Struthio camelus: one gene and its partner. The protein of the gene in region 1 binds, or shares a complex with, the protein of each later gene. Links are inferred from orthologs where the notes say so. Each region holds a gene or a part of one and is shown on either strand. Other genes may lie near its edges.

The links. Proteins that work in one complex are often made in the same cells at the same time.
Region 2: DAB2IP (region 1) and DCP1A share a complex: the UniProt entries of both Homo sapiens proteins name them as parts of the cytoplasmic complex. The link is inferred for Struthio camelus from reciprocal best matches to the Homo sapiens genes DAB2IP and DCP1A.

What each region holds. Positions count from the first base shown.
Region 1 is NC_090961.1:2,780,286-2,787,193, forward strand, and holds the start of DAB2IP (disabled homolog 2-interacting protein), read right to left. Parts: upstream 3,018-6,908; 5' UTR 2,698-3,017; coding exon 2,556-2,697; exon of another isoform or gene 2,514-2,555; intron 1-2,513. UniProt on the Homo sapiens protein: Functions as a scaffold protein implicated in the regulation of a large spectrum of both general and specialized signaling pathways.
Region 2 is NC_090955.1:17,443,728-17,450,715, reverse strand, and holds the start of DCP1A (mRNA-decapping enzyme 1A), read right to left. Parts: upstream 3,012-6,988; 5' UTR 1,617-3,011; coding exon 1,173-1,616; intron 1-1,172. UniProt on the Homo sapiens protein: Necessary for the degradation of mRNAs, both in normal mRNA turnover and in nonsense-mediated mRNA decay. Removes the 7-methyl guanine cap structure from mRNA molecules, yielding a 5'-phosphorylated mRNA fragment and 7m-GDP.

The DNA.
Region 1 (6,908 bases):
CAGATGGCAGCAGCTGCATCTCATGCGTGCTCCACTGTCAGCTCCAGCATCAGGGATTTATCATCCAGGATTGAGGCAACACAGGCAACAGTGAATAATTCCAGATGGGAAGAAGGGGTGTTTTGCCAGCAGAGATCTCCTCCTCCCCAGTAAATGTGTAACAATTGGTTGGTCCTCAGCAAGTTCTCTGCCCAAAAGCATACTGCTCAAGTGATACACTTTGGAACAGCTCAACCTGCAGGTATCACTGCTCCTCCAGTAGGGCCACAGGCCTACCTAGGCACTGCAGAGATCTTGGCAAAGGGTCTAGAGAAACAGTACAAAGCTGCCAAAGGACAGCAAACACAGAGCTGGCAAACACAGAACTGGCAAAACAGACCATGGCTAATTGATGTGAAATAACTCCAATACTCATGAATTTATGGTAACCTCCCATTAAGGACATCTGATCTTTATGTATCTTAGATAGAGATAGCAAATGACACTGCAGATCAGTATTTGACAAGGTGACCCTCAGTTTCTGCCTTCATCCAGCCTTGTAGGTTTTCAAAATTAACATTAGGTCAACACCAAAGAGTCTAGAACCTCATTCTGATCTCTGCCCTCTGCACAGCTCCCATACCCCTTAAGTTTCATTTTCATTAACTTTCCAGTGGGACAAAACTATCATGAAAAATACTTCTGTTCTAGTCTAGCATTTTCTTTACTCTTTCCAGACTGGCAGCCAGGGCACTACAGTGACAGGTAGCGACTCCAGACTGACTCCTGCCACTGACCTACTGCACGACCTCGCTGTAAGGCACCACCATTCTGCCGCTTGCTTTCTGAATCTGTTACGAAAGCATGTAAAAACAAAGAAAAAATTCTTATCCAGGTTTGCAAATCCGTTCAAGATCTGCAGATGAGAAGAGCTAGAAGTAGTGCTGAGTATTATGATCCTTCTAGCAGGCAGAAATCCCAGAAACAAACTGTGGCAAACAAAATATAGAGAAATAGATCAACAGCAAGACGATTTCAGTTGGTTCAGATCCAATTTCTTACCAACATTAGGACTGATTTCCATTTCAATCAAATTTGCCTGCATATTCCTTGTGTTCGTGACAAATGATGACCATAAGTTCATACTCGGTTACTTTCAGAAACTAACACATTTCATTTGTCACAGTAACTGAAGTGACAGTAAAACATTTTGATTCTGAACAGTATACAAATAAACGGGGAAAAGGAGCTGTTACATGCTTCCGAGTCTACAAACACTTCTCCCTGACAGACAAAACAGAAAAAAAACATGGAAAGAAAAACACTGTCTGCTTAAAGGAAAAGATGAAGCCCAGGGCCTGATTTAGCTTCCTATTGTTTTCTCAGTTATGAGTCAAAATCCTGAAAAATGTACTAGATATCAGGAAAGGAAGAGAGGACATTGCACAATACTGGATTCCACTCTAAAATCTGCTGGGTACATTTGAATTAACTCTAGTAAGACAAATATAAGTCTGGATTTGAACAAGCACCCGATAGAGGATATGGTGTTGGGGTTGTGTTTTTGATTATGGCTTTTTATTCACACAATGACAAGAAAAATCTTTTAAATGAATGGCCTTGATTAATACCCACCAAAAAGTTCAAGATACCATAAATATGACTGGCTTATCACAAGGGAGGCCAAACACAACCCTCTCCCCTTTCTGAATAGGTACTCCAAGAGCAAAATGACGCAAAGATACCCACTTCTTTGACTGCTTTAATGATAGGCATAAGCACCAACAAACATTTATTTCACACGACAAGAGAAAGCCAGAATAGCTTAATTTTTAAAATGCAACTGGGTCAGTAGCTGCCACGAGCAGAATAAATGAGCTACATGAGTGACTATGCCCTAAGGAAACATTACCCTGTGGACCTAACTCCTGCAGCTTAGGACAAATAGGCCCTTTTAGAGCAGGATTTTTAAAAGCGCAAAGTGATTTGGGAATACAAGTCCCATAGGTTTTCACAATGCTCGAGAGCACTATCTCTGGGCTCTTTTGAAAATTCTATCCCTAAACTGTTCTCAGCTGCACAAGGTAGAAACCCCTGGTGATACTTAGCTCATGAAGACGAGCAAGTTCTAGCAATGCGCATATAGGTACCATCGTGTAATCAAGGATTTTCAAATCTCTATAATCATCAATTAGGCCTCCAAACATCCCAGTAAGCTAGAGAAGTACTGTTCCCTTAATTATACCAATAAAAAAAAAAAAAGAGCTATGGATAACTCAAAAGACCAATTTAATTAAAGTTACACAACATGTTAAAACTTGGTGCTTGGGAAGAGCACCCAAGCCTGTACTCCCATAGCTAAGCTCTTAAAACTAAACAGTTCTCCCTCCCCTTACATGACTGCAGCACAGCACAAGCAACCGACTTTTGTAAAGCTCAATGCACACTTCACAGGGAGCAGGTACACTCATGAATATTTGCACGGGTCATTATTATCTACAGTCACCGAGCTACCTGTAAGCAACAGAACGTACGTCTTTGCACTGTCAATTAAACAGAACCGTTGTTGCAATTACCCCTACTAAGCGGCCTGTTCCGGCTCCGGGATCTGCTTCGCTGTCTCTGAAGTCGTGACCTCCGGAGCAGTCGATAGTAGTAAGACGGTCTCCCAGAACTTTTCCTGCTGTTCATTGACATTTTTGTATCTATTTTACACATACACACATGCAGGCACAGGTTCACTCTCCCCCTCTGGCAAAGTAGCAACAGTTCCAGCGTTTAATTAACAGGAGGTTGGTTCTTTGGAGTGGAAAGGGGGAGTGGGGAAGAGGAATTCTTCACTTTATACATTTAAAAAGAAAAACAACAGCAAGAAGAAAACAAAAAAAAGAGAGAGGAAAAAAAAAAAGAACGCAGCACCACGAGTACATGTCTCAGCAGAGGGAGGACTTGCAGCGAGCAAGATAAACTGTACTAACAATTCCTGCCCCCAAAAAGATAAGCCTGCTGGAGTTGGAATAGGAAGCCAGAGTTGGCCTGGGCTCTTGAAAAAACGAAGGAAAGGCTGGAAGAAATCCTGGACTGGATCATCTCCACTGGACAGCAACATCTGATCAAAGCGTACCGGCAAAGGTAAACATCTTGCTGCATGAAAATGTCTGGGCAGCCTTAGTTTCTACCTGCCCCAACCTTCAGATCATTTCGGAGATGGGAGTTTCAGGCAGCTTGGTTTGCAGCAGGAGATATCTACGAAAGACTGGAGTGGGGAAGGGTATAATGATTTCCTGACCATGGGACACATGTTAATAATCATCATGGAGCACAAGCCCCAGAAAATAAAGTGAAACTTGAGAGGGGAAAACTTTAATTAGAACTTGAATGAACAGAGCTTCAGACTCCCCTGGAGGCCCATTTCCTTTCAACATTCAAAATGAGTTATAGCACATCCCACGAAAGAGCCTATGTAGCATTCGGGTTCTGATGGCAGTGAAGATTCTGTCTTCAGCTCATATTGCTCAATAAAATTACATTTCAATGGGCAGAATTAACACTTTAAGCCATGGAGGAAAGGAAAAGAAAAAAAAAACAGAATAACCAGATAAAAAATTTCACTCCGTATTTACAGTAAGATGTGAATTGTCCAGAGTCTTTCATCTGGGCTCCTTCCCTTGCTAGCACAGAAATGCTCTGAAGAAACAGCAGTAGATAAATTTTAGAAGATCAGGCTGCTAGCCAAGAACTTAATGGGCTACCTTTTCTTCTCTGAAGCTGGTATTTACACTCCAAGATAACACAAAAGCCTGATCAGAGCGGAATGAACTCCTGGAAAACAACATCTGCACAATAACTTACTGGTGTTGTACCTTCAATAGCAAAAGGCAGAAATTATCAGTCTTCAGTACCTTCACTGCAACATCTCTAGTTAGTGCTTCATTCACTGAAGGAAAACTGTAGTTCCACAAGAAAGAGTCCCTTCCTCACTACCAACAATCCACTGTAATTTCAGAACTTCATAAACTTGTGTAGTCATGGAAAATGTTAGAATTTTACAAAATCCATTTTTATTTTACATACTGAGTAGTAAAAACATGACTATTAGTTGAGAAAGGCCCTTCCAGGAGAAAAAATAAGTCTCAGTCTTTAGTAAAATCCATGTCTGGTTTTGAAGCCACACATAAAGAATTCAAGCCAGCTTTTAGACAGTGCAGGAATGAGCCAATCAACAAGGCAATGATAAGTTCAGGTCAAGGAAGCAAGATCCCAGCTGGACAACAGAGGCTCCCACTGCCTTGTACCAGGGGGATGTTACACCAGGACATTCCACGGCCGCTTCCATCCAAACGCACCATCACTCAGCAAATCATGCAACACATCACAACAAAAGAGGAAAAAGCTTCAGTTGCTACACAATCTGCCTTCATATTTTCATCCAGACTTTTTGTTTTGATATTTGAGTAGATGTAAAAACAAAACAAAATACAGAAACACCAAAAACATTTTCCAGAAGATTAGAGATTCATCCTATGCAGTCGATTCAATGCACAAATAGAGCTAAGAACTTGTATAAGATAGTGATGGGAAAGTCTGAAAATATTGACGTATCACAGGCAAGAAGCCAAATATTCGGGTGTCTCTCCGCGTTTATGTGTCCTAATAATTGAGCTGGTAATCTCTTATGAGAATCTTTATAAGATTACGCTTTAGATCATTAGAAATGCCTTGAAAATAGCCTATCCAATTTATTTTTCCTTTTGTCATTCCCAACAACAAAAAGGCAGAGAGGGAAATTAAAGTTTAAACAAAGATGTTATTTAAAAAGCTCACCCAAATTCAGAGGGTCTGAAAGGGTAAGGTTCACTTAGTTTGGTTTTGCTTAATTGGAACCAGGTGGCTCATCCTCAAACCACCTGGGATGTTGGTGAGATAGTCACTGGTGATCGTGCCAACCTCTCTGAACAGGTGGGAATGATCAGGAGATCTAGGGTGATGGGCCTGCATTCGTTGTGCGTTCACTCACATGTACTTAGGCATCTGTTCCATGTTGAGGGATTTTTTTAAATCAACCTAATACCTCCAAGAAATGTTCATGCAGGTGACCAGAAAACAGGAGAAGTTAATGAGGGACTATAAACTATCATGACAAGAGAAAGCCTTATAATAAAAGCACAAACGGCTGGGAGCTTTGTTCAAGTTTAGCGAGCTTGCCTCTGTTTCTCTCTCACTGCCTCAATGTTTTTGAAGGCATTAAGTTCAGCTGCTACACAGCAGCAAGCAACAAAATGAATGACCCATCTGGGAGGGAATGTGGCTGGTCTGGACCTTTCCAATTAATCTAGAGCTGCCTTCCCCTCCCCCCACTTTTCTTGAAAGCCACATCCTGACACAAACATTCTTTTGTGTACAGCAGAATCTACCACGTGCAAATCTGAGATATATTAACTGCCCTGGAGAAAAGCTGACAACCTTAAAATTTCTATCTCTAAAATGACACATCACAGTCTGGCCAGGCTGTTCCCTCCAAAAAGCAGCAGGATGAGTTCAGTCATTGGACTCTACTGAATCTCTCAATAAGAGGACCAAATTGAGCCAAATGTAGCAGTGATTTCTTAGGTGCTAACCACCATACACTGAACAGAAACCTAACTCATGAAATTAAATATCCATCCGACCTGCAACATCCAGTTGACCTGTCCTCCCCTGCCGTATGTTTGCGTTATCTTATTATTAAGCCTTCCTAAAACTGGACTTATTTCACTTCTTTACTAAAACTAACAGCACATGCATAAATTTTAAATTAGCACCAAAATAAGTTCTAAGATGGAGAGCTACACAATCAGTGGTGTGTTTGCTTTGACATCAAAGGGGCAGCAGTTGCCTGAGGGTTTGCTCAGCTACAGTGGGGCTGTTTGGTCCATGGAAGCTGACAGAAGACATCCCTCCCCAGTGGCTAATACTTGGCTTTTTTATCATTTGTTTATTGCTTAGTGCTGGGGAAATAATGACTGCTTTTCAAAACCCACATTCCCAAGGCAGCTCCTACCATTAAACCTCTCACTTTCCCAAAGGGCTTTAGAGGGAAACAATTATTAACTCTCTGTGATTTTATGGCAAAGAATTTGAATTCTTTATTCTTAAAATGAAAGTTCCAGTGCTTGGTCATTACATCCAAGTCCTGGCCCCAAATGCTCTATTTGCAAAGGTATGAGACCACACTAGCTTCTCTACACAATTAATTAATGGCCTCTTAACTTAGACTGCTTTCTAGAGGACAACAGTTTTAGTTAATTTTATTTCAGTTTTGCAAATTCTTTCTGAAAGAACTAAACTGAGACTTTCAAAAGTTTAAAAAAAAAAAAGTTGTTCCTTAGCTGGTACAGAAAGGACAAGTGGTGGACATTAGCACAATTTCTAGTTTGCACTGGTCGGTATCATCAAGATACTGAAAAAAATCACTGGCTGCAGCCTGTCATAACTACACTGCTTCTGAGAAATAATTATATTTCTTTCACAGTCTGAGGCAAAAGGAATAAGGGAATAATCCCTAAACATACTTACTTACCTTTTTAGACATAAAAGAAATATAACAATATTCTTACAGGATCATAGACACTTGCAGAATGTGTCTGCTTGAATTTGCTTACAAGTTCAGTGCAATTTTCAGTTTAGCATACTATGAAGCTGGACTATTTCCAGGCTTATTGCCTCAAGGCTACCAGGAATACATAAGTTCATATGCAAAGCCAGAGAGGAAAATAATTTCCTTTGTATAAGGGTAACTTACTTTCAATTCAGCTATACCAACAGAAGTAGAACAGACTTGGTTTTCAAGCAGCAGTGTAAAAGAAGTTTGTGCTGAAAACATTCAACTCTAGCCTTCTTCATGTCCTAACCTCCCAACAGTTAGGTTTTCCAAACCTATTCTTTACCTC
Region 2 (6,988 bases), on another chromosome or scaffold:
ATTTAAGGGTTACGCTTGTTCACACAAACATGTAGCTTTTGTGCAGCATTTTAATTACAGGGAATAATATTCTTGTCTTTCCACAAGGAAGCTTGACAGCTTAGAATAAAAATCTAATTTCCTGTTTTTAGAAAATACTTTTTTTTTCCATTAGCAAAATCAGTATATTAAACCTATCTCCTACAAGATTTTGTTCATGCCATCAACACGATATGACATGTTCTGCAACTCTTCTATGAGCATGAATGGTCTGAGTTGAACACCTTTCTCCTGACTCCTTATTTTAAACGTGGACTGAAGTCCATTAGTCTGCAAATAGGTTGTCCTTCATAATTGTTATTTAAACGATTACAACAACAGTATATACAACAACAAAGCAATATAACTAAGTACCAGCACTGTGTAAAACTAAGTACTACTGTTTTGCTTCATACTTTGTAAGTTAAACAAAAGCAGCTGTTCCTATCTGCAAGCGGCTTGTGACACATACGTATGGGAACTTGCATACAGCTCCAGTGCAGTCCATCAGTTGAGTTCCACATATTTTAAGTTTTTATAATTTTGAGATGAAACAGTAGCAGTCAGAGGTCCTGAGCAAGGCATAAGATAGCTGTCCTCTGAACCTTTTAAGAAGCGGGCTGACCTAGGCTCTTACCCTCAGCTATATCCTTTTTAACCTAACAGAGACAACTACACTTAAACCACAGAGCAAGAGGCCTCAGACAAAAACTGTGTTTTAATGCAAGACTGAATAATATTTCCTCAACTCCTGTTCTCCCCACATTAAGGCTCTGAACTACCCATTAAGAACAAAAACAAAAGATCACACTTGGGAAAAAAAAAAAAAAAAAAAGGCAATCCGGCAACAGCCCCCACGAGCCGAGGAGGCCTGAAGGAGCACCACTGTCCCGCAGGCAGATGCGCCTTCCCCTCATCTCCTGGGGTGTAAACGGGGCGGGCGGCAGGCCGCGGCGAGGCACCGGCAGCTCAAACCTCCCCCCGGCAGCAGCGGCCCAGGGCGGAGGCGAAGGCGCCGGCGCCGTCCCCGGCGGGGGGCCGCCCGGGGCGGGCACGGGCGGCCGGAGCCCCCCCCCCCGCAGCTCCCAACGGCCGCGGCGGGCCGGGCCGCCCGCTGCCGCCCTCCCCCGCTCATGCCGCTGCCTCTCACTTACCCACTCGTTGGCCTTGGGGCTGAAGCTGTAGAGCGCTACCTGGCCGGTCACGTCGGCGATGCTGGTGATGTAGGGGTCGTGCTGCTTTAAGGCCGCCAGGCTGATCTCCTGCCCCGCTCTGCTCAGCGACTCCATCTTGGATCCCGGCAGCAACCGCGGGGGCGGGCAAGAAACGGCGGCGCGGCGTCCCCGGCGCACCCGTCCCCGCCGCCGGCCGGAGCGCCGGCCCCGCGCCTGCCGTTCCGCGCCGCGCCGCGCCGTTCCGTTCCGTTCCGCTCCGCTCCGCTCCGCTCCGCTCCGTGCCCGGCCGCCCCCGCCGCCTCCTTCGCCCGGAAATAAGCCTCGAGCCTTCGGTGCTCGCCGCCTTCGGGTTTTGTTGGGGGCGCTCTGACCACTCGATGACACTGCCGTTTGTGGAAGGGTACACGTTGACCCGACTGCCATTGAACTGCAGGGCCTGGGCCGTCTGGCTTAAAAATGAAAACGCTTTTCAAGTTTGAGGGTTAACGTTCAGCTGACACCCAACAGTTAGAAGGGGGCATCTCTGAGCTTTCCCGTATGTCCGTCCGCAGGCACCGAGGGTTTCCTCGGTTGCCGTACGCCGTGTCCCGGAGGCCTCTGCCCCGCGCCCCCGCCAGCCCAGCGCTGGGGCCGTGAGCAGGTGGCCCGGATCCCCTCGGGCCCCGGGTGCCCCGGGTGGGCCCCCCCGGCGCTATGGCTGAAGGGGGTCCAGCCCTCCCGGCACGGAGGGATCCCGACCTCCAGCCCCGGCCGAGCCCCGTGCCTTGTCCCCTCGGGCCCGCTGCCCTGCATTTGCAGCCCACCGTCTTCTTCCGAGCTGTTTCTCCACGCCTGGGCGTTTCTTCATGGCAATGGGACAGGTTAAGCAAAGGTCTCCGCGTTGCACCCGCTGTGAGCGGTCATTGTTTCTATCGTTGTCATTTATTTGCTAGCGTTACTAGTATGAAGGCTTCTGAGTTCGCGGCAGGCAAGCGCGCGAGGGGCTGCGAGCTGGGTCATGGGGTGGCGGAGCGACCTCCCCGTGGTCGGTGGTGTCTGTTCCCTCCCGCTCTCCCTGGGCCACGCAGCCGAGAAGCGGGTGGGTGGGAGGTTGTTCCTGCCGGGCGTCCGCTGCGGCGGGCGCCGTCGGGGAGCGGAGCCTGCTGAGGAGGGCGACGGCGGGTGGCGCGCAGAGCTGCGGTCTCTGCCTCGGGGGCTCCCCACGCTTCTCGCAGCTATTCACCATTAGCTGGTGTCCGAATGCTTCACAGTCTGCAGCAGGACTTGGAGTTTCCAATATGTTAAAAGAATTTTGGAATTAAGAACTTTCAATTTTCTCAGGTATAGTAGACATAGCAACTCGCGTATGTGGTACAAATTGTACGCAAGTAATGTTGGAGCAATGACAAGGTAACATGCTGTGCTCTCTCAGCTTTGTTCCTGCAATTTTTTTTTAATCGTAAGTGATATTTTAGCAACAGGAAAGTATAAAATATACACTTAGGACCAAGACATGAATAACATTCAAAACAATATCACAGGGATTTACACTTGGTAGCATTTTGTGCAATCTGACAGGAATAAAACAGCATTGTAAATTTCGAAACAAAACCATCTTTGTGGCAAGATGGTTTCTTTCTGACCCTTCTGGGAATGCAAGGAAGTTCCTCTAAGCTCTGTATTACCAGGTCATGTTCTTCGTTGCAGGCAGACACACTCCTGATTTTAATTCAATTAGCTTTTCAGTTTAGACTTCTCCCGCAATGACAGACGCTTAATGCACAAGCATCAGCAATGATCCAGCAGGTCTGTGGCTCAATAAAACATCTTCCTCATGAACAATGGACAGGCCCAGTTCCGGTATCATTTTTTTCCGTAAAAGTAAAGCTTCTTGGAATGAACATTAATTTATGTCTTTTGTTGTTAAATAGTTCTAATTTAAAGTAAGCAGACATTTTTTAGAAAAAAAAAAGTGAAGTTTGGACAAAAAATTCCCATGTAGCTCATTCCAATAACTCACAGCTGAATCCTTAGACCTAAGCATCAGTAAAAAAAAAAAAATCATAAAAATCATATGATATGTCTTAGAGAGTTCTATGAAACTTTCATCCCCTTCTAATGATTTTTACCACAGGAGGGCATGATCTATTCCATAAAATTTGGCTTTTCACTGGTTCTGTTAGTAAAGTGTGTAAAGCTGTTCTCATCAAAGAGCAAACAATGACAGTTAGCATAATGTTAAAAATATCTTCATGTAAAATGTCCAATTACTATTCAGTAACACTCTAACTTGAGAAAAGATAGTATGTAGAAGTTAACATTTGAAAATTTTTTAACAAGAGGGTGTTCAACATTCTAAGGGCTCAAGTGAAACAGCAACAAAATGACAAAAACCTTTTAACATTTTATTTTAAATGGCATCTTTAACACCTGCACCAATCTACTCCTTTCTTTTGAGTCAGACTCAAGCAAGACTACTGTAAAGCAAAGATATATTTCAAAGTAAGAAACTTCTTGACAAAGGACAGCTTTCTGCTGTGCCAGATCTTCTCAAGCATGAAAACTCCTTGGCTGCGTCTTGAATTAAAAGTGAAGCATGAGGAGCATTGATAACAAAAACAAGTGGTGGTTTCCGCTTATGGATTGTTTTCCTCCTTCATCTGCTAATTCCAATTCTGCCTTACAGAGAATGTATTCTCTCTGCCCTTCTTCACTGCTATTGCCTTAGAATGAAATATTTTATATCAGAAATGAGTCATACGGCCTACCATCTGCTTCCTCAACCTTGAAGTACACCAAAGTATAACATATACTTAGCCTCAAACTTTGACCTCAGTGTAAACTGAAATGTTAGTTATATCCATTTAGGCTTGTTCTATGACTATTATATTTTGCAGATATCTTTGTCCTTCTTTGGAGTTACTCAGCAGTTAGTGCTGGGGAAATGTTCATCTCTCACTATTTCTGATTCTTGCGCTAAACCAGACAGAAGTGGGATGATGTAGATAATGCCCTTCTGATGTTTTCTCTGTGAGTGGGACAGATTCCATTTGTGTTTCAACAAGTGAAGAGAACATTATGTTCTGTATTTCAGTTATTCAGCTGAGGTTTTACAGGACAGGACATGCTGGTTTATACCTTAAGTACTGTTAATCTGTTTGATACAAATTAATGTTCAAATAGGCTAAATAATAAGACCCTTTTTTACCCCTTCAGTTGCTTGTGACAGCATGACTGGGTCTTTCTATTGCTCCCTGCTCTACTCTTTGGAGTTGTGCAAACTCTTTTTCTTTTTCACACAGCAGATTGTTTAAATATTCCTAAAGCGTATTTGGAGCACAGTCACTCCTTTCAGACTTGATAGAGAAAAAGTCTTCTTCAGTGTGCAGTCCCTTTAGTTTTCCCCTGTCAGCTGAATATCATTAGGAAGGAATATATTGCTACTGTTAAGATGATGGAGAAGGGCAGTAAGCATTCCTAGTCAATGCATTTTCTGTTATTACTAAAAGGAGAAGTAGGGCGCAGTAGATTTGAGCATTCACACAAGTCTGAGTGACTCATAGAGCTAATATTCTATCTTTGCTGTTTTCCACTTGAAAAAACTGTCAGAAGTTTCTGGTATCATAAGATATTCTGCAAATGACAACGCTTTTATTGGTTTGCTTATTGATATTTTCCTTGAATTGTAATAGCTTGGTGTATTTATTAATAATTTTATTGGTATTCATACCTTACATTTCAATGATAATGACTCTAATTCTACAGACTCCATTTATTTGGGTTTAGTCCTTGCTAGTGCAAATTGCCCTGATGATGACTTTCTTCACCTATAACTTAGTGGACTTTTATTTTGTATTTTAATTCCCTGAGCAAGCCTGCAGATGCATAATCTGTCCTTTTTATGGGGGATGCCAATTTCTGTTATTGAAAAGGGGTTAAAACAAGAAGCGAGGATGCTAGAAATTTTCTAGGGTTGCCATTTTGTTTGCAAAATCATTTTATTTCACAGGAAGAATTACTTGAGGATTTTTATTTGCTTATTACTTATTACAATATTTACTTCAGCTGAATTCTTTCCTTTACTGTGAATTTGCATTCGATCTTTTCCACTGGCGAGGCTGCCATTTCCTGATACTCAGTCTCCTTTCTATGTACAAATAATTCTTCATGTGCTGAGTTTCCAACCTGATAGAGAATAACTGAAAACTGCTAGAGTTTGAGATAAGGATCCATCACTTTGTAGATGAGATTTGTAGAAATCTTGTCTTTTGAGGATTAGCACAAAAATGGGCTTTTATGCATACTCAACAACAGTTTATAGCATATTTATGTACTTCAAGAAAAATTACCTTGCCTGGCACTTACTCTGCTCTTTACTCTGGGAGTGCTGAATGAATCACAAGCTTTTCATAGATCTTCAGACTTGCAGTATGCTCGTCCTGTACTGATGCTGCATCTACAGAGACCTTATTGCAAATCCATGGTCACAGATACTTATTTTCAGTGAAAAATCTTTTCCCACCTTTAGAGAAAAGTTTTCTAAATTGTTACATAGTACAGTGCTATGTAGTGGCCACATTTTTAGTTCTAACTGAGTTTTTTAAAATTTGGATACTCTTTAGTATCTGTTGGTCACCACTCAATTTCCTTTTATCCTTCTTCCCTTGGTTACTCAACTAAACTTGTTAGATCACTTGCTGATTGTCATTAGAATAATGTACCTCCAGATGTGCAACTGGTATCTTTCCCTTGGACTTTTAGCAACTAATTCCATGATAAATTTGTGCATTCATAGTGTCCTACTTGGGTGATACACTTAACAAGAATTGTAGGCAAACTGAGGAGACTCCAGAAGAAAGCTAGAAGAATGGCAAAAGCCTTGGAAAACATGCCTTGTAAGAGAAAGCAAAATGAATTACTAAGTTGCTTAGTCAAAAGAAACAGAAAATTAAAAGAGAACATGACTGTATTTTGATGTGTAAGAGGTTGTTACAGAAAGTGGTTATTCTCCACAGCTACTGGCAAAAGGACAAGATGAAATCAGGTTAACGCGCAGCAAAAAAAATTAGGCTGAATTCCTAACAATTCTGATCAGTAGGAATAGGTAAGGAATATAACAAGCTACCAAAGGATGCTATGGCATTTCCTTCACTTCTGTTTTTTAAGACCAAATGATACAGCATCTGTCAGGATGGTCTTCACATACTTGGTCCTACCTCTGTACAGAGGCTTTTAGTTAAGGTAATTATTCCATTCTGCTATTGTATCAATTTCCTCCCACCCTTCACAGGAGATTACTACCCTTTTATTTGTGCCAAGTGAATTGTTCAAGTCAGATTTATGAAATGAGCTAACCATATATTTCTACAGTTCTTCACACTGAAAGGGACAGTTTCTGGCCTGGGTTTTGTCTAAAGAACTGGGTTCTTTTGGGGACGACATCTGCAAATACACTATGGATGGATAGAGAGCAGTGCTAATCTAAAAAAATAAAATCCATGGGATTCTCCTTTTTTTTGGAAGATTGTTGCTTTGAAGTGACAACATATAAGAAAGTTTTGGGACTGCATACCTACCCAGCTGTAGGTATGGGCTTTTTACTGTTTCTGCGCTCTACCTAAAATAGAGATAATGTGTAACCATTTTGTAAAGTATCTGAGTTCCTCAGAGAAAATCCTGCAATACTGAAATCTGAATTTAGCTACAAATTACTTTGGGCTCATTTCTTTCATATAACAGTTGCAGTCATGATTCTGTAACAGGAATGGATGATTTTTTCTTTTTTTCTTTCCTTTTTTTCGCTGTGAAGTTGGCAA